Linked DNA regions of Canis lupus familiaris. The protein of the gene in region 1 binds, or shares a complex with, the protein of each later gene. Links are inferred from orthologs where the notes say so. Each region holds a gene or a part of one and is shown on either strand. Other genes may lie near its edges. The genes, in order: POLR3D, POLR3F, POLR3K and POLR3G.

Region 1 (6,178 bases):
CACGGATGCAGGTAGTAATAAATTTGCATGCATTTGCACTCACACATAGCAATTTTGACTTTACACTTTTTACTTCCATTATTTGCATTTATTTGTTGGTAGAAATGTATGCTTCAGAGGCTTGGTCAAGAAAGCAGACTTGTTTCATCTTTTTTCCACACTTTCACTGATGACATCCAATCTGTGAATCAGGGATACACAGACAGGTCACGGGGACTCTGATGCAGGGTCTTAATAGTTAATCCCCAAGATACTTGAGATGGAGAATGTGAAAGTAGTACATGTTCTTCCCCAAGCTTTCTCGGGGGAGTCAAAAAGCTAAAGACTGCAAAAGACCAAAGAGCTAACAAGGCAGGGACTCTGAGTTGACCCAGAAAAGCAGAAGAGTGTTTTTGAACCAAAGAAACAGAAGAGAAACTGAGGATTGCAATAGAGGTGTACTGGCAGTGCTTTAGCTTCTGAAAGCAGCACGGGAGCCCAGAGAACAGAGCTCAGCCTTCGAGCAAGCAGAACTTCTACATGTTCCCACAGAAGCCTTCTGTCCCTTGCAATAGGAGACCAGAACAACACTACCAACAGAGCTCCCATGAGCTCTGACCTACAGAAGGGACAATGTTCAATCTTTCTTCATAGCTGCTGGCTAGGTATGCAGTTTGAGGGGCTGGGCACAGGAATACCCCAGCTGTCATGAACAAAATCAGATTCACAGGACAGAAAAGTGAGACTAAAGGAAGGAATATTCATTCAAACCTCTGGGGCCACCTCAAAGTCAGGAGGAGGTACTCTTATGGAGCCTGTGTGGTCCATCGCTGTTCCAGAGGCAGTTGGCTAAGCTCACAGAAAAGGGAGCTGTGACATTGGCGTCGAACAACCACAGACACTGCTGTAGGCAGCCTTTCCTAAGCTCTAAGATGCCTCCTGCCACTGAACCAGGGAAAAAACCCAGCCCCATAGGCAAGGGATAAGGGAAGAGCAGCTGCTCCTCCAGGAACGACACACTGAAAGGATCAAGAGTGTGATGACTTGGTAAAAGGAACAAAGTAATAGACCCATGAACTAAAAGGCCACAGTGGCCAGCTGGGATTGGGATGCAGACCTGGTGATGGCGGGACAGGAAGTGGGGGCGGGGGGCTCTCAAATTCAAAACTTTTGAAATGGGAGGTCATCTCTCAAGTGTCGAGTAAGTTGTTATGCAATAAATCTTTAATTGCCATGTTACCAAGGTTGTTTTTTCAGCAGTATTTGAGTGTGGTCATAATTCTGAGTACTCACAGGATTCTTTTGGGAACTATTTAAATGGAAGCCAAAAGAGTACTGCTAGACATTGCATGGCTTGTGGGGAAGGGACAGGGGAGGAGTTCTGGGGCCTTGTTTCACCAAAGGCAGGTGTACGGTGCTGGGGGGCAGTCTCTGACTTCACCTCTGGTAGAACTATAGCTAGCACCTCACCAAGTAAATAGGCAGTACTTGGCTAAGAGTGCTCAGGAGAAGACGGGCAGGGAAGGGCCTGGACCTGTATCCTCAGAGCTTCAGGCCCAGGGGGATTGTAAGTGCAGTCAGGAGGTCAGGACAAAGCAGCTCTATTCATGTCTTCGAGAGATTCCTGGAATCTCTATTTTGTTTGAAAACAGACTCAGGCAAAGGGAAGGGAAACTAACATTTATTGAGTGCCCATTGTGTTTATCTGGCCTTGTGCAAGGAGTTTTCACCTACAACATTCCACTTAATCCTCACACCAACCCTGTGAGGTAGGTATTGTCCTCATTTTTGTCCCATGAGGAATGAGGCTGAGAAAGGTTAGGTAGTTTGTCCAAGGTCACACAACTAGTAACTGATGGAGCTGGGATTGAGCACTGAGTCCCAGACTCAAAATTCCCAGCTCTCTCTCCAACACTGCTTCTTGGGAAAGAGGAAGGAGTAAAAGCAGCAGCAGTCCTTACGCTTCCTACCCTGAGAACAAGACAGTCAGCAAGACAGGAGGAGCCTGGACTTTTCCATAGACCCTCCCCTCTCTACCTGGGGAGGGTGCAGTCACTCGAAGAGATAAGACATAAATATAAAAATAAATAGAAGGGACAAGTCCCCCAGCAGCAAGGATGTGCAGGATCCATGCTGTGGGAAGGCCACGGTGCCATTCACAGCTGCCGTGGGAGGAAGCCATGTGGGCCCTGTGGGGAAAACTGGGACAATGGCTGCCAAAGGCTGGAGTGGGTGGGCTAAACAGGCCCCTTCTGGGTCGCACAGATTTGAGAACAAAACGTCTGGAGCAGGCAGCCGTGGGCACAGTCACCATCATCCTCCATCTGCTCATTTTACCGGTGTTTGTGATCCAAGAGGGACTCAAAATCAGGGGAACATACAAGTTTGTGCTTTATGTGTCCCAGGACTGTCATCTCACCGGTCCTACTGTCGCCAAGGCCCACGGATACCAGCTCCTGCCAATCAACAGAAACAGCAATGAGAACCAAAACCATACAGCCCATTCCTCAGCCCTATGATTTAGGAGAATCCCAAGAATGCTTCTCCCTTAGTTAGCATGGACTCCTCAGCACTCCTTACCTCTTAAAGAGCCCCTACCATGACCCCACAGGCTCTCACCTGCAGGAAGGAGCAGGCGGTTCCCATCGTCACATCTAGAGTCACCTTGCCCAGGAGGAGCTGCACCTTTCCTGACTTGCGGATGAGCAGCTTGCCAACCTGACCCTCTGTCAAGTCAGCCAGGGTACAAGCATTCTCTGCCAGCCTGGCTTCCTGCGAAGAGAATCAGAAGATGGAAACAAGATAAGGAGCTTCTTCCTCCAGCCTGCATGAATGATACCGTTTCCAAAGGAAGAGGTCAGCAGCAAAGATTAGAATGAGCTCCCTAAGAGGGCCTTTCTTCACAGTTGCCTGCCATTGGCCAAACAACAAAACCCAAAGCAAACAAATGGACAAATAGACAAAATATTTATTACTGCTGACGCTGAGTGATGGTACATGAGAATTCATGTTCTCTCATCTGTGTATACACTAAATATTTCATTGTAAAAAGTAAAAATACGTAACAGGGGTTGAAGTACAAAGCCTCAAGCACCTTGTGGGTGGAATGAATGCGTATTATTCTGGCATTTCAGCTTGGGTGGCACCCCTTTGCTCCGCAACAGATGGCTGTTTCCTTTCCTGGCCCCCTCAGTGCTTCCACAGAACTCATCCATGCACATACCCGGTCTTTCTCCTGCTTTATGACCACCATCTGCCCATCCTCAGTCTGCACCTCTGTCTTGATAGGCTTGATGTCCTGAGTAGGTGGCTGGCCAGGGAGCGTGTCTGGCAGTTGAAGGAATAGCAGCTCTTCCTCCTGGGTCAGGCTCAGCTCCCTGAGCAACTCTGCCACAGATATGTCCTTTGGGAGGCCCGGGGTCTTTCTGGCTGTTCTGGGAGGAGCCTTCATCTTGGCCTCCTCCTCCTCATCTCGGGGCTCCTCTTTCACTGCCCAAGGAAACATAAATGGAAGAGCTATGAAGTAGCCATCTTGCAGTACCCATCCCTTCATTCCCATCTGCTTCATTGTCACTCAACCATGAAGCAGGAGGGAAGCACTGGTATGAAGAAGGGTCCAGGAGTTGTGTGGCTTATCAAAAAGGAGTATCTGAGGCTAGGCCCACGGATCCATGTCAGCATGAACTTTCTGAGAATGAGAATTTAGTGTCCCTGTTCAGGTCATGTACTTCACAACTGGAATGGGGGAGGACCCGCTTATGAGTCTGGGAGATTCATTCCTAGAGAGGATTCCTGGGGGGCAGCCACAGGGAAGGAGAGGAGACGTTAATGGACAGAGTACCTTTCACAACAGGTACATCCACCTCCATGTCCTCTTCCTTGGGGCCAGCCAGCCAAGGTTTAACATCTGGCTCTTCATTCTCTTCCTTAAAGAGCCACCCTGAGTGAGCCAGCGGCAGCTGCACAGGCATGTTTCGAGTGTCATTCCTCAGCCCAGGGTCATCGATGAACTACCAGGGAAGAGTCAGGGGGTCACATGGTCTGGCTAGCATGCACACATACCTGGACTGCAGCCCACCTGAGCTTTTTCTAACTGAAGATTCCTGCTGCTCACAGGCTTCTAGGACATCAGAGAGCTCTTCTTCCCCCAAGCCTGGCTCCCCAGAAGCCCACTCTGCCCAGCCTACCGGTACCTACATCATCCTTCTCCAGCATGCGCAGGATCTGTTTTGTTTCTTCATCTGTCTCCCTCTTCTCTTTTTTGATGTTGATGATATGAGAGGGCCCCATGTCTGATACATCCACTGTCTTATCCCAGTTCCCTGTGGGAAATAACTCAGTTCACCAGGGGCATGGAAGAGGCCAACAGCAAGGAAAAGCACACAGGGAGCAGGGAAATTTTACTGCCCTTGCCCTTCTCTTGGGCAGTCTGGACTGAAATCTATGGATTTCTTCTTCCCGGAACCCCAGAAGCTTTGTACCCTTTTTCTTCATCATTTCAGCTGGGCCCTGCTCAAAGATGGAGTGGGACTGGATCACTTCTGGGCGGCCTCGGCCCCGTCCATGCCCGTCTCGCTGCCGGTCTCTATCCCTGTCACGCTTCTCTTTCTTGATGGCTACTTCTTCCTTGGGCCTGGAAAAGAGAATGGAGGAAGGGAAACCACTCACTCACTCTGCCTCAGAGAACTGGTCTTACTCTGACACACACTCTACTCTACCCGAGCAGAGAATCAAGAGCCAGTGACTGTATCTGAAGAAGCAGAACCCAATCCTAAGTCTAGCACCTTTTCTACTTCCTTGATGGGGCAGTTTCCTTTCAGTTCACTTTACTTATCTTCTTGCTTGAGAGTATATAACAGGACTACGACTCAAAAGTGGAATTACAGAGACTGCCCCTAAATGTGGACTTCTCAGTATTGCTTAAAAGCAAGAAGACTGTGATACAAAAGAATGTAAGTGAGAACTGAACACATTTTTGTCTAAACTAGTGTCTCTCAACTCCAGCCGTAAAGGATAATCACTCTCTTTCATCGCAAAAAAGTTAAATCACCATTTCCAGAGATGGACTTCCAGGCATCAGTATGTTTTTTAAAACTTGCACGTTACAATCACCTGGAAGCCAAGGTCAAAAATCACTAGTGAAAAAAAAATACACAAATTTAGATTTCTGAGCCACATACGTAGTTATTTCCCAAAAGACCCAAATTCAGAGCAATAGGGGAAATCTGTGTTATTTTTTTAAAAGATTTTATTTATTTATTCATAAGAGACAGAGAGAGAGAGAGAAGCAGAGGGAGAAGCAGACTCCATGCAGGGAGCCCGATGTGGGACTCAATCCTGGGTCTCCAGGATCACGCCCTGGGTGGAAGGCAGGTGCTAAACCGCTGAGCCACCCGGGCTTCCCTGTTTTATTATTTTAAAAGATTTTATTTATTTATTCATGAGAGACACAGAGACATAGGCAGAGGGAGAAGCAGGCTCCTGAGGACTGGATCCTAGGATCACGCCCTGAGCTGAAGGCAGATGCTCAACCACTGAGCCACCCAGGTGCCCCAAGGGGAAAGTTTTTAGAAGGCTGAGCTACTTACTCTTCCTTAATTTTCCGACTGATGATATTTGGGGTGAAGGTTTTCTGAAAATAAAATATGAGTCACTGATTTGTTAAGTTTCCCAAAGTACAGAGAAAAATGAAAACTCTCAAAAGGGATCTTGTATGGACCAAGACCACCATTCTACATTCCCTACTGTTATAATGGTTTACAGAGATAGGCATGTGCTTAAAAGGAATGAAGATCCTGTCATGATAGCAGTGGACTTACACACTGAACAGGGCACCAAAACCCCATTTTAGTTAGTGGCCTCAGCTTCTGCCCTCTGAAAGGAGAACCCTGAGCACTTCTACAATTTATTTATCTAATCTCACTTCTTGTCAAATCATTGAATATCACAGGAAAGAGCTCTAGCAGCAAGCCTCAAGTACAAAGTCCGCCTGCACCCACAAACAGACACAGCTAGACTGCCACCAGCATTTCCCAAGGCAAACAAGTCTTTGAAAACTAGCTGCTTTATGCTTCTGCTACATCACCACCACCAGCTGCCTCCCCTCCCCAATTTCGGGACGATCTTAACATCTACAGTGATAAACACGACGCAAAAGAACACTGAGCCTCCAAGGCCCTGCCTAGAATTCATTACACTA
Region 2 (7,418 bases), on another chromosome or scaffold:
TTTTTTATTGTAAGAAACTTTAATTATTACAAATGTAACCTATGTTTTTTTGGGAAAAAGTCAACATAGAATTGCATAATGTAAACCTGTCCTGCATACCATCCCCACCTCTTATCATGAGTTCCATTTCTCAGAGATAACTGCTCTTAATAATTTGGTATATGTCCTTTCTTCTAGGTATATATATAAATATATAGAAATGATTATATATTTATATACTATATATAATCTCTTTTCTTTTTTTTTCTTTTTTTTTCTTTTTTTTTTTTAACAAAAATGGGATCATGCTATCCATACTGTTTTGCAACTTGTTTTTTTCACTTACTATATCTTGGACATCTTTTCATTCTGGTACATACAGCCCTGTCTCATTCTTTTTAAGGTAAGCCCTTCTTTTGGTAAATAAGTCAATGTGATGACCTTGTCTGCTAATTCATTAAAGTAATTATGTAGATTATTAGATTATCCTGTATCTCTTTGTCTTTTTAATTCTACTTTATTCCCCTGCAGTAAAATGAAAGGATCAGATAACCAAGAAAAACTAGTATATCAAATCATAGAGGATGCAGGAAATAAAGGTAAGCAGGTAAAGGAAGAAGCAGAAAAAGTCATCATCTTTAAGACCAGAAATAGGAACTGAGTTCTGGCTTCCCAGGATACAGATCCATATGTAGAGAATGCTTCCATGTATGTTAAAAGAAGGGGAAGTAGAAATATATAATATACATATGCTTGCAGGACACCCAGGTGTGATGCCGTTGCTGTTGCCTCAACGCAGGCAGGGGCTAGATGGCTGGGGGCCAGGATGGAAAGAAACTTCTGAATTCTGAACTGTGGGAATGTACTATCTATTCAAAATAAATCAGCTAAAACTTAAGGGTTTTTTTTTTTTTTTTTTTTCCCAATCCTCACTTTCTTTGACGGCCTTCATTTCTTTAACTTCATCTTATCTGTAACTTGTGGATAATCCATCTCTCTAGTTTTTGCAAAAACCAAAGGGATGTCCAGTGCAGTGTGGCAGTGTCTGACAGAGGTCCCTCAGCAACTGTTCAGTTTTTCTCTATCCCCTTACGGAACTATATCTAAATTGCTGTTAATCCTAGAGTTTAGGATCTGAGTCCAATGATAATTTCAACAATGTATCAACAATGATATAATTTGAAATATCATTCTTGTATTATTAGGTGTTTAATATTTTTAAAATAGACATGACAAAAGCCATTCTCTATTTTTAAAAAATCTATCTTCCTATCACATTATGCCTCTGTGCTGGGAAGAAAATAAGGTAACACATTTTCTTTTTCTTTTATTTTTTAATTTTTTTAATTTTTTTTTTAAGGTAACACATTTTCTATAAAATTCCACATACAACCCTTCTTTGAAATCCTACCTTCTTGTAAAGGGCTTTTAGTGGCTGTGAGAATTGCAGTCTTCCTTTTTTTCATCTCCTAAATATAGTGTATAAATAATGGGTATATATGCACACACATGTTCACATGCAGTTTTTTGCACTCTGTTGGCGGTGATAGCTGACCTTGGCCCAAACTTAAGTTATAATCTAAATACGATCTGAAGTATAAATAATAGGAAACAGAATTTGGGGTATAGGAGGGGGTGGAAGAGACAATAAGTTAATTCAGTAACATTCAAGATTTTTCTCCATTAAAAAGTATCTTTTTCATATGTTTTTAAAAAGGTGCCACACTAGGATTCCAAGAAATTTCTGGTTAGAAGACATAGCGCATAACTTCTTTTATCATTTTGCATACTTTTGTTGTTATCTGAGATTCTTACCTCTAAGTCACTGTTTTTCCTATAACTATGCCCTAGGAATAGTATACATATTTTGCTAGTTTTGGCACGTGGACTACAAACACAAATCCTATGGCGTTGAACTCATTTTACTTTACTTTCTTACAGGAATATGGAGCAGAGATATCCGATACAAAAGTAACTTGCCATTAACAGAAATTAACAAAATTCTAAAGAATTTGGAAAGTAAAAAGCTTATCAAAGCTGTTAAGTCTGTGGCAGTGAGTATTTTTCTCTTTCCTTCCCCCAAGTGTTCACTGTATGTGTATTGCTCCAAGTATGTTTCAAGATCTTCTTGTTCTTTAGGCTATGTCATGATTTAAAACTACTAGTCAAAAAGATTTTTAAAAATTTCGTTTATATTGAATTGGTTTGGAGATGTTACTTACATTTATCACTGCCTGGTTAATTCTTTGTGTCTTACCCCCTTGAAAAGGTAAAACTACTGTATTCTTCAGTAAAGAATTTTTGGAATCATGAACATTTTTCATGGATTTTCAGCGTGTAAGATAGTTTACTTCATTCTAGCAAATTAGATTACTCATTCAACAAATATCTATTGTGTGTTTGCTCTGTGCCAGGCACTGTTTGGGTGTTTGGGATACATTAATGAACAAGTCAGGGAAAGATCTCTGCCCTGATAAAGTGTCTCTTCTAGTATGTAGTATTTCTCCTCCTCATCCTATCCCACCCCTATTACCTCCTTCAGGGATTTCCATTCAGAGCTGGATCCATCAGGGACACCAGCTACTGACCCCATTAACCTAGGCAGCAGAGGAGCTGAGATTCCCCTAAACTAAAGTTTGTTTGTTTGTTTTTGTTTTTATTTTTATTTTTATTTTTATTTTTGATAGTCACACAGAGAGAGAGAAAGAGAGGCAGAGACACAGGCAGAGGGAGAAGCAGGCTCCATGCACCGGGAGCCCGATGTGGGATTCGATCCCGGGTCTCCAGGATCGCGCCCTGGGCCAAAGGCAGGCGCTATACCGCTGCGCCACCCAGGGATCCCAAAACTAAAGTTTGTTTGAATGCGGATTTCAGCAAATAAGATTTTGATATTCATTTATCAAATGATATTTTTGCCTTAACACTCCTTTATTTATTTATTTTAAAGACTTATTAAGGAGCACCTGGGTGGCTCATGGTTGAGCATCTGCCATTGACTCAGTTTGTGATCCTGGGGTCTTGGGATCAAGTCCCACATCAGGCTTCCCAGAGGGAGCCTGCTTCTCCTTCTGCCTATGTCTCTGCCTCTCTCTGTGTGTCTCTCATCAATAAATAAATAAAATCCTTAAAAATAAATAAAGGTTTTATTTATATTTAGAGAGAGAGAGAGAGCACAAGCACAGGAAGGGGCAGAGGGAGAGAATCTCAAGCCGACTCCATTCTGGACATGGACCCCAGTGCAAGGCTCAGTCTCACAACTCTTAGATCATTACCTGAGCCAAAATCAATAGCTGATGCTTCCAGCTGCACCACCCAGGCATCCCCCCTCCCTTATTTAGAATATTATCTACCCTCTGCATTTTTAATGGATAATTTCAAATATATACAAAAGTAGAAAAAATAATGAGTCCCCACACACTGAACACCTAGCTTCACTTTGCCAATCTTTCATCTCCATCTTTATTTTTAATAACAGCTTTATTGAGATAACTGACATACCAGAAAATTCATCTGTTTAAATTGTATAGTTTGGCAGTTTTTAGTATACTGACAGAGACATGCAACCATCACACTATTCTAATTCACACATTTTCATCACCTCTGAAATGTGACCCCACTAGGAGTCACTCCCCAGCCTTCCTGCCCGTAGGCCCTGACAACCACTGATGTAGTTTCTGTCTCTATAGATCTACGTATTCTGGACATTCCATATAAACTGTATCATACAATATATGGTCTTTTGTATTAGGCTTTTTTTATTCACATGATGTTTTCAAGTTTTCAAACTAAAGTAGTTTTAGATTATAGCCCAGTATAAAATAAATACTCATGAGTCCATATGGAAATGTTTAAATAAATAAATGATTCCAAAAATTCCTTAGTGAAGAGTATAGTAGTTTTGGCTTTTCAGTGGGTGAGACACAAAGAGTTAGCTGGGGTGGCTTAGTCAGGCCAATTTCCACTCAGGGTCACGAGATTAAGCCCTGCATCATACTCCACACTCAGTGAGGAGTCTGCTTGCCCTTGTCCCTCCCTTTGCTTGCTCTTTCTCTCTCTGTCAAAAGTAAATTTAAAAGATCTTTTAAAAAATAAATAAATGACATCTTCCCACGAGTAGATTGAGGCAAAATAGACAAACTTCCTGTGCAGAAGAATTCTAGGTAATTTAGGTGGATGGACACTCTACCCTCAAAGAAGTGGAATATAACTCCCACTCCTTAAGTGTGGGCTGAGCATGGTGATGTCCTTCCACATATGGAAAGACTAGGGAAAAAATGTCAGTTTATGATGGAGAAAACGGAGAAGCACTACTTCAAGCCATCTGATCAAGGTTAACCTCAATACTGAGAAGTCTTATCAGTAGTGATCAGTTATCACTTGGTGATCGAACGCCCTTGACAGGATGTGATGAGAAGGGCACTTCTCCGTGGTCTTTCTCCTAGAGTAGTCATAAGAAAAACATCAGGCAGGTCCCAGTCAAGAGATATCCTATAGAATACCTGACCAGTCATCCTCAGTACTGGCAAGTTATCAAAAGCAAGGAGAGTCTGAGAATTTGCCAATGGAACAGGACAAGTAAGTGTAATATGGTATCCTGAATAGGTTCTTGGACCAGAAAAAGGATATTAGGGAAAAACTAAAGAAACGTCAATGAAGTATAGACTTTAGTTAATAATGATATATCAATATTAGTTCATTAACTGTAATAAATGCAACCTACTAATGTAAGATGTTAAGAGGGGAAACTAAGCACAAGGTAAATGTACCATCTTTACACTAATTGTGTAAATCTAAAACTGCTCTAAAATAAAAGGTTTGAGGGGTGCCTGGGTGGCTCAGTCAGATAAGCATATGAGTCTTGATCTCAGCTCAGGTCATGATGTCAGAGTCATGAGATAGAGCCCAGAGTCAGGTTCCATGCTGGGTGTGGCACTGGTTAAGAGTCTCTTCCTCCCCATCTCCTTGCCCCTCACCCACCCCAGCTCAAAAGAAAGTAAAAAAATATATATATATAAAAAGTTTTGAGAGTTTCTTTAAATCTTAGTTTTGAAAGACTTGGTTACCTTTTTTTTTTTTTTTTAAGATTTTTAAATTTATTTTTACAGAAAGAGCGTGCATGTGCACCAGGGGTAGGGGAGGGGCAGAGGGAGAGAAGGAGACTCTTAGCAGGCTCCACACCCAGCAAGGAGCTAGACGCAGGGCTTGAACTCACAACCCTGAGACCAAGAGTCGAACACTTAACCGACTGAGCCACCCAGGTGCCCCTGCAAGACATGTTTATCTTATAACCACATCTGCTGTTAATGTTTTTTCCTAGGCCTCAAAAAAGAAAGTATATATGCTTTATAACTTGCAGCCGGACCGGTCTGTGACTGGTGGAGCCTGGTACAGTGACCAGGATTTTGAATCAGAATTTGTAGAGGTGCTTAACCAACAGTGTTTTAAATTCCTACAAACCAAGGTGAGGCATAATTAAGGAAACATCACTGCAAATTTTTTTTTAAAGTTACTTCATAAAGAATGTTTAATCTTGTATATCATATTTCACATAGGACATGAAAATACTCAAACCAGTAATTTTCACTAAACAATATATTCTGTTGATTTCACACTATATAAACTGTGTTCAGAAAATGCTAGTGTTCTTATTGAGATATATTTCTACCCTAAAAGGCAGAAACAGCTCGAGAAAGCAAACAGAATCCAATGATACAAAGAAATAGTTCATTTGCCTCATCACATGAAGTGTGGAAGTACATTTGTGAATTGGGGATCAGTAAGGTAAGAGCTCAATTTTTAATTTTCATCTTATTTTTTAAAAGTTACTCTTCATCATAGGGATATAGTTTACAATGTATTCTAAACATATTTGACCCAGACCCCTTTTCCAGGTGATACCTATGAACCTTCTGCAGAACCCATTTAGACAGGTGACTGTCATGCCATCAGGCACTGTGTGATCTGTGTGAACTTAAGCTTGGAGGATAGAGCAGCAGAGCAGAGGCCTGGCATGCATGGCACTACCAAGATTCAAAAGTCTGTTCTGACAAGGTCTTGACTTTCTCAGAGACATTTCAACATAGGTGCCAAACATCAGTCATCACATCAGTTGTCATTTATTGGTATTGTGTCCCCTTGTAAGATGAGAGTGCTCTTGTCAGCATATGTTTTTGAAGACCTATACATAAAGACACTGTGCTGGATGTTCTTCATTATCAGAAAAAAACAATACATAGACAAGTCATCTTCATTTCCTGTCCCCCAAATCTTTCATTTATAAAAAAGTAGGAATTTGGACAATTTGATATCTAAAATAATTCTTTCTGCTCATTTTATGAATCCCCATAAAATTCTTGCCCCCAAAAATGTTACTTTATAAGACTTCTAGATTTCACTTAGAAAGTGGAAAAATAGAAAGTGTTGGGATGCCTGGGTGATTCAGTGGTTGAGTGTCTGCCTTTGGCTCAGGGCGTGATCCTGGGGTCCCGGGATTGAGTCCCACATCAGGTTCCCTGCGTGGAGCCTGCTTCTTCTCCCTCTGCCTGTGTCTCTGCCTCTCATTAATAAACAAAACCTTAAAAAAAATAAAGTGTCAAATTCAGCATGAGGTTAGAGTTCTGTCTCTAGCATTTCTGTGGTTTGTGCTAACTTGGGCTGCTGTTCAACCCCTCACTTCTGATTACTCACCAGCATGATGTTTCGTCATTTCACTGAGGAACTGTGAACCCTTTACTCTTTACACACTCTCCAAAAGGATGTCTTCTTGTGCTTTCTGTGTCCTTTCTAATGCATCTCCTTTTCAGGTAGAGTTATCCATGGAGGACATTGAAACTATCTTAAATACACTCATTTACGATGGGAAAGTGGAGATGACTATCATTGCTGCAAAAGAAGGCACTGTTGGCAGTGTAGATGGACACATGAAACTGTACAGAGCAGTCAATCCAATCATCCCACCCACAGGTTTGGTCCGGGCCCCATGTGGACTCTGCCCGGTGAGTTAAAGTGGCTCCACTTCATACCTGACTGTGCAAATGCCACCTAACTTAACAGCAAGCACACCCCCATTTTCTGACTTTCAGAGTTGACCAAGAGCAGCTCAAACCTCCATGTAACCTTGATGATGGGCCCTTGATGAACAAGTCCTTGCTTTACATTTTTATTTACAATAACCACGCTAGGGAAATTTGTGATTTTTTTCCTGTAGGCCCTGAAATGGACAATGTTTAATGAGGGCTGATCATTTAACCTAAGTAAGGAGGGAAATAAGATTTGTTGAGAACCTACCACAGGCCAGGCATGTTCTTGAAGATTTATATGGTCTCATTTAATCCTCCTCTTGTCCCTTGGAGCTAGTGATGTTATTTCTGCATAAGCATGAGGCTAAGCAAGGTGTAGAAGCTACAGCTTAGAAGTAACAATCAGGATGCAAACCCAGA
Region 3 (8,108 bases), on another chromosome or scaffold:
ATGTCTGGAAAAGATACCGTCTCAAAAATGTAAAAATTTCTATCAGAGGTATAAATTTGCATCCCATGATTTCACAAGTGAGACTTCATTATTAAGAGATTTAGAAAAGTAATTAGGTCTGAGGTCCTGAGCAAAAAACGAAACTATCCACAAACTAACATCCTACCCCGCTCCAGTCCAGGATGTCCTTTTCCTTTTACTAATAAAAAGATGAAGGGCAGCCCAGGTGTTTCAGCGGTTTAGCACCGCCTTCAGCCCAGGGCCTGATCCTGGACACCAGGGATCGAGACCCACATCAGGCTCCCGGCATGGAGCCAGTTTCTCCCTCTGCCTGTGTGCCTCTCTCTCTCTCTCATGAATAAATAAATAAGTTTTTTTTTTTTTTAAATGAAGGAAGCATAAATATAGTCTACCTAATAAATTTATTGCAATCCTAGGAAACAAGAACAGAATGATAAATTGAAAAGCATGTTATCAGTATTCTGTTACCAGGAGAGCCCTAAGCATGGCAGTTGTTTGATGTCTGCTTCTCAAAGCACTCAAAACAATGAGAAAGCGGTCTCTTGCTGCAGCAACACGAGTGGGAGGACCCAGCACTGGACTCGGGGTGGAACTCCACAGATCGCTTTAAGAAATAGCAAACTGGACACGGGGGAAATCGCCAGCTTCGATAAGGCCAAGCTAAAGAAAATGGAGACGCTGGAGAACACCCTGCCAACCAGAGACCATCGAGCAGTAGAAACGGAATAAAATTTCCTAAGCATCTAGAGGGTTCCCCACCCACAACATCTTCGAGACACCCGGGTCGTGATGTAGAGGAAGAGCCACCTGCGAGATGGCCACGAGTGACAAGCTGTGCTGTGAACCCAGGCACTCCACGCTGAAGGCTGCCAGCCTGCAGGTCTCTGAGGGCCGCCCCCCAGCCCCCACCCCGCCCCAGTCAGACTGCCAAACTCTGCAGTTTACCCTGGGATATTATAGCAAATTATTTGTATGATTAACGAAAATAAAATATACTTCTTGGCAAAAAATTAAAAAAAAATAAACACTAGAAAAGCAGTATTAGACTTTCCATTTTAATTAAATATTCAGAATAGATAGTGATAAGTTTACAATTAAGTTAAATACTTAGATACATCTAATGTCCTACATTATAACATTTTACTTTATTAGTTGTGCAATCAGAGTGCATATTTAAGAAGGATAATGGTGAAAAGATGTCAATTAGCCAATATACCTACAAGATCCACAAACAGGATATTAAAAAGAACACACTTACTTATGTATACCCTTCCCTGCACACACAATCCCCCTGGATATAAATGAGCTCATCCGCTGACTGCCAGATGGGCTGGTACCCTGACCAGCTCCCGTGAAAGGGTTAGCTTTTGGCCACATCAGCAGAGACAGTTCAGGACAAACAGTTCACACTCCTGGCTGTGAATCCACCCTAGGGAACAAGGTAGGCAGACAATGACACAGCTGGATCCTGGCCCTAGTCCCTCCAGCGGTGTCCACACTGAGCATTGCAGCACTTGTAGAAGGTGGTCATCGGCTCGTCTGCAGAGCGAGTCTGAAGCTGCATGAAATAGGCACGAGGATGTTCGCATTTAGGACATGACTCTGGCAACGAGAAAAACAAGTGACCCACATTATGCTCATGACCAAACACACCTGCTAGAAGTAGGTAGGTATTAACACACCAAATCCCTCCCCGACCCCAATCATCTGGCATCCCCTGCCTAGGGCACCTTGCGCCATGACTGAAAGGCTGTAATTAGTGGCATCATTCCCACTACACTCTCACACTGAGGGGACTTGTGACCCTGGAAAACACTCCTGCTCCCCTCCCTGAGTCCCATTTTTCTTCTCAAATCTGGTTGAAGACTAGCTGGAAATGTGACATGAAATGTGGCTTATGGCTACCATGTGCATGATGGGGTCCACTCTGGGCAGATTCTTCCAAGTGCATCTCCATCACCTAAGCCCTCTCAACTTCCTGGAGGAGCCCCCAGGGGATGACAAATCCACTTCCCATTAAATTTAGGGATCCATCTCGGCAGCAGTTCCTCAGGCCGTTCTTATGAAGACCTCACCATACAACCCACACCTTTGCCAAATACCTCAAGGCAAAGTGACTTCAGTTCGGGAAACTGACCCTATGCTTGATAATGCCTTCAAACACTCACAAACAGCACTTTGAACATTAGGTACCAAAATCATCTTCTTTTCTTTCCTGGCAAATTCTGCCAATGCTAATTTTACCATATCAGATTTAGATGTTCTTCTATGGGGGAGAAAAGATAATACTAAACAGGAGTTGGGTCTTCCTCCGCTCAACACAGATGTGTTTAGGGCTCTCTTCTTTCCTTCCCTGGTCACATCTACCTCTATCAGACAGGAAACAAGACTTGAAATAAACATGTGAATGCTCTCTGCCATCAGCTTTTAAAAATCTACACCAGGAAGAAAAATAAATAAATAAATAAATAAATAAATAAACAAACAAACAAACGAATGAATGAATAAATTAATTAATTAAAAATAAAAATCTACACCAGGGATCCCTGGGTGGCTCAGTGGTTGAGCATCTGCCTTCTGCTCAGGGTGTGACCCCGGGGGGTCCCAGGATCGAGTCCCACATCGGGCTCCTGTATGGGGCCTGCTTCTCCCTCTGCCTGTGTCTCTGTCTCTGCGTCTCTCATGAATACATAAATAAAATATTTTTTAGAGATAATTAATTTTAAAAAAGATCCACAACTGAACAAATGGACCATATACTCTTCCTTAGGCTCCGACTTTCATTACTGCCATCGGTTGCTCCCCGCACAGCCGCCACTTGAGGACCACGCTAGAGGCCAAGTGCTGCGGGGCTCCCTTCACGCTCTCACAACGGAGGGAGGCCACCAAGGTCATGCGATGTTAAGAGGCTGTGGCTTTGAGACTAACCCACACCTGTACGTCTCTGGGGTTTATGCCAATATTGCCTGTGTAAGAAATAAATCACTAAAGAAGAAAATACACACGCTATTTTTAGGAGCTTCCTTCCTCAAAGGCAGCGCGGCCTCAGCTCTCACCTGCGGTGGAGTCCACGTTCTCCCAGGCCGCCGCGCCGCCGAGCACATCGTCCACTTCTTTCAGCTTCGGGTACTTCCGGTTGGTGACCTGGCGAAAGGCGGCAGGTGTTCAGGCCGCGGGTAGGGGCGCGGTGCTGACCCGGCCGCCGACTGCCCTCCTCCCCGCGGGCTGCACGATCCTGGGCAGCCGCGTCTCTACACCCGCGGCGCAGGGCTCGGCCCGGGTCCAGGGGCTCCAGCGTCGGGCCGGCCCAAGAGGCGGATGCAGCCGGGACCCCCCACCCCACCCCGTCCACGCTCGGCCCGGGCCCTCCGCGCAGGCCCCCGGCTCCGTCCCGGGCGTCGCGGCGGCGGCCCCAACTCCCGCGGGCAGCTCGGGGCGGGCGGTGCGCCGCGGCTCCGTCCAGGGCCCGGGTTGGGGCCGCAGCACCGACCCCAGGCACGCAAGTCCCGTAGAGGCGTGTCCGCAGGTGACCCGAGTCCGCCAGAGCCACGCTGCTCGGCACGACCCAAACACGGCGAGGCTGCGGGCGGGGCGGGGAGGGCAGCGGGAGCACGTGCAAAGGCCCGGCGGCCGTGTCGGTGCGCGGCGCGGGCTGCTCCCCGGGGGCTGGCGGCGTCGGCCCGGACCCGCAGTCAGCCGCGCCAGCGCACAGGGCGGGCCTGATCCGGCCACGGCTCCGACGAGGCCGCCCGGGCCGCCGCCGGGGACGCCGCCACGGGAGCCGGGTGAGGCCAGGCCGCTCCCGATACGGCGGGGGGCGGGGGCGGGGCCGCTGGAGCACCCCGGCGGGGCGGGCGTCGGCTGCTGGGCGGGGGGCGGCGGGTGATCACCTTGCGCGTGATGTTGTGCACGTAGGGGCAGGTGTTGCAGGCGAAGCGGTGGCAGCGCTGTCCCTCCTCCACGATCAGCCCGTTCCCGCAGCCCGGACAGAAGAGCAGCATGGCTGCCCCGCGCGCTCCCGGCAGCCCCTGCGGCCGCGGGGCGCCGGCGTCGGGCCCGTCGCGAGCTCCCATTGGCCCGGGCCGCCGCCGCCCCAATGGCCGGGCCGGGTTGGCGCTCCCAGCAGCCCCTGCGGCAGGCCGCCTCGAGCCTCCCATCGGTCCCCGTGGCAGCCCCGCCCCTCGCGGCCGGAAGCGGCGGCGGCGCGGTCGGAGCGCGGGGCTGGGCGGGCGCCCTGGAGCCGGCGGAGGCCGAGGCCGAGGCGGAGGCGGCGGCGGCGCGGCCCGAGGCGCCCGAGGCCGAGGAGGATGAAGAGGAGGCGCTGCCGCACTCCGAGGCGGTGGACGTGTTCCAGGAGGGGCTCGCCATGGTGGTGCAGGACCCGCTGCTCTGCGACCTCCCGATCCAGGTGCGCGGCGGGACCTCGGTGCCTGACCTCCCCCTGTGGGCGCCAGAGGTGACGATGCGGCGGGCCTCGATTCTCCCGTGTCCTTTAAGGACCTCACTGACCCGAGCACGAGCGGGGGCAGCAGGGGACAGGGACAGGCGGACGGTCGTCCGGTCCCAAGGCGGACCCCGACGGCGCCCCGGGCGCCCCGGGCGCGGCTGCGCTGCAGGTGCAGGTTCTAAGGTCGTTTCCGTAGTTGAGGCTCAAGTGGGGAGAACGGCTCCACCCCGGGACTCCGCATCGAGATTCGCGCCCCGCCCGAGGACGTTCACTCCTGGGTTGGGCGCCCCGGTCACCCTCGCACACCGGCCTCCCCTCCCCCCCCCGCCCGGTGTCGCCCTGGATCCCGGACTGACCGCGCCTCCTCCTTCCCAGCCCCAGAGCCCAGATCTGGCGCTCACCCTCTCCTGTTTCAGCGCTCCTCTTTTCCTGAGCTTTAATGCACTTTGCACATTAAACACTTTTAAAATGTAGGTGCAACCGGGAAACCCTAGCATAGAAGTAAGAAATCTTGTCTCTCGTCTTTCGTAAGATACGGCACTGCTTTTCCGATGCTATCCGCTTGTCTTGTCTTGTGGTTTGGGATAGCAAAGGCAGCCAAGGCTCCCACCTCCACCATTGGTCTTTCTGCAGGTTACTTTGGAAGAAGTCAATTCCCAGATAGCACTAGAATATGGCCAAGCGATGACAGTCCGCGTGTGCAAGATGGATGGAGAGATAATGCGTAAGTGCTCGCCCTCTCCCTGCGGACCCTGCAGTCCAAGCTGTCACGCAGACAAGACGCTGCCATGGCTGCTCAGGGGAAACTCAAGAGCCATGTACGTCGAAGGGCATCGGGGCAACCACAAGCCTACCCCACCTGAATTTGAGCCTCCGTCCAAAACAGTCTGGACAGAGCTTCTGGTTCCTTTCCTGCCGTCCTAGGCTGTGGCTGTGGATCCTAACATGGCTCTTCTCCCGCAGCTGTGGTTGTGGTGCAGAACGCCACAGTCCTGGACCTGAAGAAGGCCATTCAGAGATACGTGCAGCTCAGGCAGGAGCGTGAAGGGGGCATTCAGCACATCAGCTGGTAAGTGGAGCCACTGTTGCATGTGTGCCACAGAGCACCGAGGAGTTCCCTGTCCTGAGCGTCCCGGCGCGGTGGGTGCCACGGTGCCTGGGAGTCCTGCCTCAGTTCTCTTTCATCTACATCACCTCACCCAGGCAACTGGGCTTCTTAAATGGGGGCACCTTGGAGCATTTCCAGCGTAAGTGGTCTCCTTGGTTACAGACGGTGCAGCTGCCAGCGGCCCTACCCCATCTTCCCCTGGGTGGTCTCCTCACTCCTGCAGCATGGGTCGTCTCTGTCTCCGTGCTGTAGCCTATTTCATTAGGAAGGTGTGTTTGGCCCCCAGCCACCCCACACGGCTCTTTCAGAGCGGTGCCTCTTTCGAGCTACCTCGGGCCTGGTGTGTACAGGGTACAGGACAAGCCAAGAAGAGGCTGCCTGCCCTGGGCCCCCCAGAGCTGAGCATCCCGAGCCCATCTCACACACAGCTGCTGCGTCCCAGCTGCCCAATCACCCTGCTTGTGGTTTACCCAGATCCTCATCTGGATTTTGCAGGTCCTATGTGTGGAGGACCTACTACCTGACCTCTGCAGGAGAGAAGCTCACAGAGGACAGGAAGAAGCTTCGAGAGTAAGTTCACACCACATTTTGAGCTGCAGAGAGGCACCTGGTCTGTTGCCCTTTAGTACCCAGGCTCTGCCAGAAGACTGGGGCCTCTTCCGAGGGAGGAGGAGTCTTAAATCAATCACTGGAGAATTTGCAAGACCAAGAGAGTCCCTGGCTCAACCAACACCCTCCTGCAGGGAGGTTCCTGAGGGCTCTCCCTACTGGAATGGGAGGCATGGGGGCAGTGTGAGTACTGCTCACCAGTGGTAGAGCGGGGCTTCCTAGAGCCAGAGGAGGGCAGTGTGTGGGAAGGTGAGAGGCTGCCTGCTGGCACGACCTAGGTCCGTGAGACGATGGCCACTGCCACTCCTCACCTTCCCAGACACAAGCTGTTCCTACCTTTTTTTTTTTTTTTTTTAATACCCTCCCAAGTCTCAGGTGAGGCTCCACACATACCTTCTGCAAATCACACACTAGAGCTCTTCTTCTTTTCTAGTTACGGTATCCGGAACCGGGATGAGGTGTCCTTCATCAAAAAGCTGAGGCAGAAATGAACCTCCAGAAAGACAATTAGGTGCTGGTGGCCTGCACCCAGCTGGAACAGAGCTAAGCCCTAGGTCCAAACATCCTAATCACATGGCAGATGGACCTGGCCCTGTATACAAAATAAATCGTTTGCTTCTTAGTTTGAAAAGTCAAAAAGCCACAGTTCCTGGAGCAGGAGGGACCGCTGCTGCCCAGGCACAGAGGGGAGGCAAGGGCAGAGGATGGTGCAGGTGAGTCCTAAGGTCCAGAATGCTTCCACTTGAGCCCTGTGGCCAAATCATCCCCTCGCGATAAAACCTTTTTACTGTGATTTCTACAGCAAGGGGAAATAAAAGCAGATGGCCGGCTTTCTGTGTGTGCTTCTGCAGAAACGGGGGCCGTGCACCCACCAGCATGTGGCTGAGGTCTCCAGCCGTGGCTCACAGGGTTCACCTATAGTGACACACTTCACCCTTTGGCTCCTGGAAAGGGAGGTGGCCTGGGGCAGAACTTGGAGCTGCTGGCTGGAGAGGGAGGGCTGGGGTCAGAGTGCCTCTCCGTGTGCCAGGCGGCAGGGGTGGGGGTTGGGGGCGGAATGAGACAGCACAGCCGTGGGTTCTTCTCTCATTGTCAGCTGCCGGTCACCCTGGGGAAGGGGGCAGGAGATAGCCGTCCACCCTGCTGAGGGACTTCACGGGGAGGTATATCTCACACTTAACTTCCCTGTTCTGGGGAACTGTAAGGTGGGGGGTGTTGCGCGCAGAGGCCTGAAGAACCTCTCCCTCCATGGCCCTAGCCAGAAACCAGAAAGACGAGGCAGCTCCGGTAAGTTAGTGGCAGCTAAAACGCTCCCAGTCCATTTATTGGCCACCTGAAGTGGTCGTCAAGAAACTAGTTAGAAGATAATTGTGGGAACTAGTGTAGTAAATGCCCTGAAGCACGATAAGTTCACCAGGGTGAACAAGGCACGAGAGGTCAGGGCCCGGCAGCAGGCAGGACGCAAGCCCTGCGCAGAAGGCCCGGGGCGGGCCAGGGCAGCTCTGGCCTGCCGGTGCGCGCCCCGGGCCCAGCGGCCCGCCGACTCAGTGGAGCTGGGCATCCAGCTCGTACTTCTCGCAGAACTTGTCGGTGAAGGGGATGCAGGTGAGGAACTCGCACCACTCGCAGCGCACGGGGTAGAAGTAGAAGAGGATCACCAGGCCGGCCAGGAGGCCCAGGAAGACCACCTGGAAGACGATGATCTGGCAGCGCTTGCGGTACAAGTCAAACTTGCCGAAGCTGATGTAGGGCAGGAAGGCGAAGGACAGGAAGAGGCCGCTGATGAAGCCTGAGATGTGAGCGAAGTTGTCGATCCAGGGCAGCAGCCCGAAGGTGAACAGGAAGAGGACCACAGCCGACAGCTTGAAGAAGGCACGCCAGGGCCGTGCCAGGACCTGCCAGCTCTGGAAAAGCTCCACGAAC
Region 4 (7,938 bases), on another chromosome or scaffold:
GTATATACAATGATTGAACTTTCTGAAATCCTTATCACATTCTCACATTTGGTTTTTGTCTTGCAAAGGAATGGAATGCTAAGTTCAAAATAATTTTCCCTTATAATTTTGAAGTTATTATTTTCCGGCATCTAATGTTTCTGATGAGAAATCTGATGCTAGTTCAATTATTACTGTTTTATAGGAGAGCAGATTGTCCCTGAAAGTTAACCTTTTTAGTTTTGATATTCTGAAATGTCTGATATGTAATTTCTTTTACCACTTTAGTTTGCTCAGTACTAGGTGGGATAGGACTATCAATCTGAGAACTTGTACTGATCTTCAGTTTCCTGAAAATTTTCTTCATTTATTTGATATTTTTCTACCTCTTCTCCATTTGTTGCTGTTTCTGGAATTCCTATTAGTCATATGATGGATCTATAGGATGAATCCTCCATGTTTTTTTCAATTTTTCCATGTTTTTGTTTGAAATCTCCAAGTTCTGGAGTTTTTCCTCAATTAAATTATCTCATCATTCTATTAAATTTTTGATTTTGTCAATCATATGCTTATTTTCAACAGTCTTTCATTATTCTCAGAATTTTCCTCTCTCAAGAGTATGCTGTTCTCTAAAATAGTATTTTTTGACTACCTCTTAGGAAACTTAATATTATTATGAATTTGTTTTGCTTCCTAAGCTGACTCTGAGTCTTCCTAGATAATGGTTTTCCTTAGTTTATCTTTCATGCTGTTGATTTTCTTTTTATCTCTGACAGTTTTTGATTCTTCATTTTTAAGAATGGGAGTCTAGATAGATGTGAAGAGAGACTATACCGGGGCAGGGAATCTGAAACAATTCGAGTGCAATGGTTTCCTAAACAGCTTTTAAATTTTACATTTGGCTCTCTTCTCATTTCCATCCCATTCTGTGCCAGACAACTCTAAGCCTAGGGCCTCTCTGGGACTCTGTCAGGCAGATCAACTCTGACGCTTTGGTCATCTGAAATTCTAAGGAGTTGAGACTTTGATGATCTGTCTCATTTGTCAACAGGCTTCCATGTCTCTTTGGATCTTTCAGATATATGTTTTTTTAAGATTTTATTTATTTATTCATGAGAGGCACACAGCGAGGCAGAGACATAGGCAGAGAGAGAGGCAGGCTCCCTGCTGGGAGCCTCATGAGGGACTCCATTCCAGGACCAAAGGATCACAACCTGAGCCAAAGGCAGATGCTCAATCACTGAGTCACCCAGGTGCCCCGATCTTTCAGATATTTTTTGAAATATCTTCTCTGTTGATGTTAGCTCTCCAGATCACTTTAGTATTGGAAATTATTTCTCAGCTATTGTTTTATTAAGGTTTCAGGAGCAAGACTAAACAAATACTAATGCTACTATCCTCTTAAACCACAAGTTCTATCTACTTTTGGCTCTGGTTCTGGACTTACTATTTTGATTACAATAGTAGCAAATACATTTTAATATCCTATAGAGTGATTTTTGTATTACTATTCTTTTTCACCATTTTGTAACTTATTTTTATCCAATTATCCTTGAGATGATCATTAGAATAATTTTTATTATTCAAGAAAAAATGGAGGTGCTTGGGTGTCTCAGTCTGTTAAGCATCTGCCTTTAGTTCAGGTCATGATCTCAGGGACCTAGGATCAAACCCTACACTGGGTTCCCTGCTCAGAGGGGAGTCCGCTTCTCCCTCTTCCTCTGCCCCTCCCTTCGTGTGCGCATGTGACCTCTCAATAAATAAAGTCTTTAAAAAAATTAAAAATGGAGAATTTTCATTTTGATTAAACTTACAGATAAATCTATGGATCTATGTGCATTAGTAAAATTTTGTGATTTTCTACCTACTGATCCTACAGATTTCTTTTTAAGTTTATTTGTAGGAATTTCATACTGCTATTATTTTAACTTGCTTGTTGATTTTGCAAATTTTTCTGAAAATCAGCTACTTTATTGAATTATTTTCAATTCTAATAGTCTGATACATGATGTTTATCTTATATATCACTTCTTTTTCTTTTTTATTACATCACTGATTAGAATTTTAGAGAGTGTTGATAACTTTTAATGATGTTTGTGACAGAGATGTTAATCCTCTATCTTATCTTTAGTAATAGATGATCTGACCCCAAGTTTTAGCAGAGCACACAGTTTTTCAGCTAGAGTTTTTATTCTTTTTTATTTTTTAAGATTTTATTTATCCAGTCATGAGACAGAGAGAGGCAGACACACAGGCAGAGGGAAAAGCAGGCTCAATGTGCGACTTGATCCCGGATCCTGGGATCATGCCCTGAGCCAAAGGCAGATGCTCAACTGCTGAGCCACCCAGGTGTCCCCAGCTAGAAATTTCTTTTTCCAGCCTCCCTTGTAGCAAGGAGTGGACATGTCACTAATTCTCCCAATTATGTAGAAGTGATGCATTAACTTTCCTGTCATTCCCTTGGAAAGATATCCTGTTGAAAATATTTTAACACTTAAAAATCTATTTTCCCAAATTATTTGCCCACATCCTATAAAGTTCTAGTGTTGCAGTTACCAGGTTTAAGAAACACTAGCATATTTGAAGTATGTTGTTCATGTTAAAAATGTACCTCCTATATCTGGTTTATTAACATATATTTTATTAGAAATAGATTTTGAGTATTTTTGAGTCTCTTTTTGGATGTTTAGCTAATCTCCTTAATCCAGAATTATGATTAATTAATACAGATTTGTATTTTGAATCATCCCTTTGCATTTTAAAAATAAACTCTATTTGGTTATAGTGAAATGTTCCCTTAAGACAATCCCAAATTGATTTTGTCAACATCTAAAATTTTTGCACATATGTTCATAGCGAACATGAAACATGAGCTTATAAAATGGTGAGTAACATGCACCCTCTTTTTTTAAATTTTGTTTATTTATTCATGAGAAAGAGAGAGACAGAGACAGAGACAGAGACACAGGCAGAGGGAGAAGCAGGCTCCATGCAGGAAGCCTGACATGGGACTTGAATCCTGAGTCTCCAGGATCACGACCTGGGCCGAAAGCAGGCGCTTAACTGCTAAGCCACCCGGGCATCCCAACATGTACCCTCTTATCATGGAGCATACAGTCAGTGATATTAAATGCTTTAAATGTTCTCTGTGCAAGCTTCAAAATTTAAGTTCTTCATCATACTTTGAATTTAAAGCACCAGAATTAGTTCCTTGGGAATTTTTATGAATTCAAAGTTGTTTGGTGTTTTTTTCTTTTTTATTTAAGTAATCTCTACAGCCAACGTGGGGCTTGAATCCACGACCCCAAGATCAAGAGTTGCATGCTCCTGCAACTGAGCCAGCCAGGCGCCTGCTCCTCATGAATTTTTAAACTCACCCAGAACTCTGAGTGGGTTGGACGCCTTTTTATTTTACAGCATGGAATTGTGGCATCATCCTATCATTCAGTTCTATCTATAGTTATCGACCTAATTCAGTTTTCTATCTTTTTTGAGTCATCTGTTTCCCTTGGAAAGTGACTATTTCATTTCAATATTAAAATTCATTGGCAGCATGAAGTCGTATAAAGTACTTTAATAATTTGTAAACCTCCCTCTTGTTATTTTTTTAAAATAAGCTTTATGCCCAACGTGGGGCTTGAACTCACAACCCAGATATCGAGAGATGCATGCCCTACAGACTTATCCAGCCAGGTGCCCCAACCTTCCTTTTAAACTACCAAAAACCGTATTAGTGGCAATATTACCTTTCCTTTTCGAGTCAACAGTGATTTATAGAAATACTTTAAAAGGTTAGGTGTTCTAATTTTGTTTTTTTTTTTTTTTGGGGGGGGGTTTCCTTTAACCTTTAATTTTTAGAGTTACACCATCATACTAGTTTTACCTGTCCAAATTTAGTTCATCCTTCTAAGCCTAACATATAGGCCAAATCCTTCAAGAAGACTTTCTTCTGTCCTACTGGTTCTCTCCCTTCTTTAAACATATATATATATATATGTTTATATAATAAAAATATATACCTAAACACATATATAAATATATACATAAACATATATATATATATTTATTTATTTATGATAGTCACACACAGAGAGAGGCAGAGACATAGGCAGAGGGAGAAGCAGGCTCCATGCACCGGGAGCCCGACATGGGATTCGATCCCGGGTCTCCAGGATCGTGCCCTGGGCCAAAGGCAGGCGCCAAACCGCTGCGCCACCCAGGGATCCCAACATAAACATGTGTATTAAATATATAAACATGTTTATACGTATAAACATATTTATATATAAACATATATAAAAACATATATAAACATATATATGTTGAGGATATATATATATATATATATATATCCTTTATACATAGCCCATAGTGTTTATACATCTTCCCCCTTACCCTGCCTCAACGCCATATTCAGGCTATTTCACTCCTTTATAAGGGTTACAACTTAGTTCAGTGATTTGTGGGTTTTCACAGCAAGATCCCACCCAACGCAACAAATATTCATTGAGCGCCTGTGCATCAGGCACCGTATCAGGCACTGGGATCCGCGTTAAATGAAAGATACCATCCTGCACTTGAAGAAAGCCTAGTAGGAGTGATGAACAAGTAAACAAATTACCCAGGTGAGCTTCAAGAACTTAGTTTGGAGCTTAAGATAATATAACGTGTATAAGCAGCTTCCAACCCTGTAAAACAAAGGATGCAAGAGAACAGATCCCTTCAGGGAGGGAGAAGGGAGCTAAGGTACCGTCAAGTGCCGCTTTACCGTAAGTAGCCTAATAATCCAACCCATTAGATATACAATCTATAAGCGACAGCACCTGCCTTAAAAGCACGTGGGATTGTAAGGGGGAAAAAAATGCAAATTCATACCTACTAAAATCAGAATTGGGAGGACGGGACGTTTAAATCTGCGTTTTAAACAAACTCCCCATGGACTCAGGCCACCCAAGGTTTTAGAACACAGCGCAGTCAAATTCGGCAGGCCTCATTCCCCAGCCGCTCCCTCCCTTCGGCTAAGGAGGCTGGCCCCGCGGCGCGCCTCTCCTCCCTCCCTCCCTTCTCCCCCGGAGCCGTCCATCTCGTCGGCGGTCACCCAGCGGGAGGCAAGGTGCAGCCACCTACCGCCCAAACTACCACGCAGACACCTGGACCCTCGCTCCGCAAAGGATTCCGGGAAACCTCAACAAGCCAATAAAGGGCGGGGAGGAGGGGCAGAAGAAGAGGGACGAGCGGCTTCTTTGATTGACGCGAAGCACGCCCAATGAGAGCAGAGGACCAGGGACGCTTCCGCCTCAATGGGCGGGCTGTTAGCAACGTCAACCAATCCGACTCCGAAGCGTCTACCTTGTGGGAGGTCCTTGAGGCCGCTGAGGTCGTTGGTGTCTGTTGAACGGCTTGTGGAAGTCGTGCTGCCTTGGGCAGGGCGTTAAAGTCGTTCTCGAGGGGAACGTCTCTGTCCGAAGAGAAAATGAGTTTAGCTCTGAGGTCGGTAATGAGGAGGCCGCAATGCCCTCCACACCTCGCAGCGGGCCCCAGGGCTGGCGTGTGTAGAAGGGAGGTAGCTGGGCCGAGGCGAGCTGGAAGGGGATGCATTTTGGGATGAGGGCGAGGAGCCTCGGCCAGCCTTCCTGGCTCGGATTCCTCACCCTGGGGGCCCTGGTGCTCCGCAGGTGAGGAGTCCCGTGCATTTGTGCCGAGGTAGTTAGCGTCTGTATCAGCGCGTCGGGCTTTGCACCACCGAGGAGATGGGTTTCTAGTTGGGAGGAGGGAGTGAAATATCGCGATGCTTCTTCTCGCGGTGTTTCTCCGCGAAGTCAGGCCGGGGAGCCTCCCTGGGTTCAGCTCCGCCCTCCGGGTCTCCGGCCCCTGCAGCCCCTGCAGCCCCTGCAGCCCCTGCAGCCCCTGCAGCCCCTGCAGCCCCTGCAGCCCCTGCAGCCCCTGCAGCCCCTGCAGCCCCTGCAGCCGTCAGACCGAGCTATAAATTTTGGAAAGAGCTTTAAACTCTTCCTTGCTCTTATCCTGGGGCCCTGCTTTAAGATATAACGGGCGACCCATATAAATGACTTTAATTGATTTCTCAAAAAAAAATTTTTTTTTAGTTTTGTTTACCTTTCATTGACTTCCAATCTCTAACCCCGTTCGTTGCCCCCAGCAGCAGCAGCACCTAGATGTTTTTACACGTTGCACCTTAAAAAAAAAAAAAAAAAAAAAAAAAAAAAAGGTGGTTACGCCTTTCTGAACAGGTGCGGCTTTGGGTTGGGAGATGATGGTGGCAGCCCTGCCTCGACCCCGTGGCGGGTCCTGCTGTTGACCTGGCCGTCCAGAGAAGGTGACCGCGGGGACTGGGGTCCCTGTTCGCGCGAAGTCAGGTGTCTTGTGAAAGGTTGTCCCCCCGCTCTGTTTATTACTATAGGTCTCCTGGTCATCTTCTGATCGTCTGTCTCTTGACGGTTTTGTGGTAGGTTTTTAGAAAGCAAAACACAGGCAAATAGGTAAGGTGTTTTTATTAAATAAAATCAACTAGGCTTTACATTTCAAAGTGTTAGGAAATTGGTTTCAAACTTCTTGTACGGATGTTGCGGCACCATTCGAAATTTTGGAACACTAAGATGAGTATCTCTTAAGACATACCTGGCTTTTTTTTTTTTTTTTCCTTTTTTTTTTAACATTTATTTATTCTTGAGAGTTAGAGAGGCAGAGACACAGGCAGATGGAGAAGCAAGCTCCAATGCAGGGAGCCCGGTGCAGGGACTCGATCCCGGGACCCCAGGGTCACGCCCTGGACTGAAGGCAGGTGCTCAACCGCTGGGCCACCCAGGGATCCCCATTTCTGCCTTTTTAAATAAAATCTACTTTCAAGAAATTTCCAGGATTTAGGAGAAGCTATATCTAAATTTACAAGTGAAATTTAGAAAACCATGGACTCTTCACTATGGGGTGAGCAAGGCTTTGACTCATGGAAGAAAAATTTCATTTTTCTCTCAAATAATTCCTTTTAAGAAATTTAAAAAATATAGAAAATTAGCACAAACATTCTTGTTTTGGCTTTTAATTTTCATGGTATATTTAGACTTCAGTATTTCGGTTGATTTGTTAATATCAATGGAAGAAATTATAAATAAAGCCCCAAACTTAGCAATGTGTACTGTAAATCACTTTGAACCCACAATGCCACAAACTTTGTAAGTTAATTGTTAAGTGATACGCTTTTTTTGGTAGTAATTTTGATAACTTATAAATGCTCTCAAAAGTAAGCCAAATATGCAATGATCCTCAATTATGAATTTTCCTTTGATTAGTTTAATACTATGTTGTAGAGTAATGTTAATAAGTAGGAGTGCTTTAGTTTTGTTGCGATTTCTGTGATGAATAATTTTTTTATTCACAGTTATTTCTTCCACATTAATATCAGAATAAATACAAAGCCAGAAGGAAAGAAAGTTAGGTCCTTTTTTTCTTATAATAACATGTAACACTTTTCAGTTTTGGAAAGTGCAGATTTATAGCAGCTTAGACTATGGATTGAGCAAGGCTTTGACTCATGGGAAGAAAAATTTCATTTTTCTCTCAAATAATTCCTTTTTAGAAATTAAAAAAATTCTTCCTTGTTTAATTTCTTTGTCGCATTTTGAAATTTTAATTATCTAGATGTGTAGGAGAATAGAATTAAAGTAGACTGAATAGACTTTTCTTCTCATTTCATAGAAATGAGCTTGTAGTAGACAAAACAAAGAGAAAAAAAAGAAGAGAACTCTCTGAAGAACAGAAACAAGAAATTAAAGATGCTTTTGAACTGTTTGACACAGACAAAGATGAAGCAATAGATTATCATGAACTAAAGGTAATAATGTACTTTAAAATGTATATTTTTCTGTTAAAATTGTTTGCATTTTCTATAGTTGGCTAAAATAACCCATCTAAAGTATTTTAACTAAACTGGTTGTGGAAATATGA

The links.
Region 2: POLR3D (region 1) and POLR3F share a complex: the UniProt entries of both Homo sapiens proteins name them as parts of the RNA polymerase III complex. The link is inferred for Canis lupus familiaris from reciprocal best matches to the Homo sapiens genes POLR3D and POLR3F.
Region 3: POLR3D (region 1) and POLR3K share a complex: the UniProt entries of both Homo sapiens proteins name them as parts of the RNA polymerase III complex. The link is inferred for Canis lupus familiaris from reciprocal best matches to the Homo sapiens genes POLR3D and POLR3K.
Region 4: POLR3D (region 1) and POLR3G share a complex: the UniProt entries of both Homo sapiens proteins name them as parts of the RNA polymerase III complex. The link is inferred for Canis lupus familiaris from reciprocal best matches to the Homo sapiens genes POLR3D and POLR3G.

Annotation. Positions count from the first base shown.
Region 1 is NC_049246.1:35,176,535-35,182,712, forward strand, and holds the end of POLR3D (DNA-directed RNA polymerase III subunit RPC4), read right to left. Parts: intron 5,612-6,178; coding exon 5,568-5,611; intron 4,613-5,567; coding exon 4,461-4,612; intron 4,302-4,460; coding exon 4,177-4,301; intron 3,990-4,176; coding exon 3,821-3,989; intron 3,469-3,820; coding exon 3,203-3,468; intron 2,752-3,202; coding exon 2,599-2,751; intron 2,436-2,598; coding exon 2,313-2,435; 3' UTR 67-2,312; downstream 1-66. UniProt on the Homo sapiens protein: DNA-dependent RNA polymerase catalyzes the transcription of DNA into RNA using the four ribonucleoside triphosphates as substrates.
Region 2 is NC_049245.1:5,106,817-5,114,234, reverse strand, and holds part of POLR3F (DNA-directed RNA polymerase III subunit RPC6), read left to right. Parts: intron 1-361; coding exon 362-382; intron 383-510; coding exon 511-578; intron 579-1,920; coding exon 1,921-2,033; intron 2,034-5,296; coding exon 5,297-5,440; intron 5,441-5,652; coding exon 5,653-5,760; intron 5,761-6,782; coding exon 6,783-6,974; intron 6,975-7,418. UniProt on the Homo sapiens protein: DNA-dependent RNA polymerase catalyzes the transcription of DNA into RNA using the four ribonucleoside triphosphates as substrates.
Region 3 is NC_049227.1:40,883,676-40,891,783, reverse strand, and holds POLR3K (DNA-directed RNA polymerase III subunit RPC10), read right to left. Parts: upstream 4,072-8,108; 5' UTR 4,023-4,071; coding exon 3,912-4,022; intron 3,166-3,911; coding exon 3,078-3,165; intron 1,624-3,077; coding exon 1,496-1,623; 3' UTR 1,058-1,495; downstream 1-1,057. Other genes in the region: SNRNP25 (U11/U12 small nuclear ribonucleoprotein 25 kDa protein), read left to right, coding at 4,388-4,429, 5,102-5,192, 5,432-5,537, 6,072-6,146, 6,619-6,676; RHBDF1 (inactive rhomboid protein 1), read right to left, coding at 7,730-8,108. UniProt on the Homo sapiens protein: Core component of RNA polymerase III (Pol III) which synthesizes small non-coding RNAs using the four ribonucleoside triphosphates as substrates. Can mediate Pol I proofreading of the nascent RNA transcript.
Region 4 is NC_049224.1:18,657,844-18,665,781, forward strand, and holds the start of POLR3G (DNA-directed RNA polymerase III subunit RPC7), read right to left. Parts: upstream 5,450-7,938; 5' UTR 5,329-5,449; exon of another isoform or gene 5,313-5,328; intron 1-5,312. Other genes in the region: CETN3 (centrin-3), read left to right, coding at 5,453-5,469, 7,690-7,825. UniProt on the Homo sapiens protein: DNA-dependent RNA polymerase catalyzes the transcription of DNA into RNA using the four ribonucleoside triphosphates as substrates.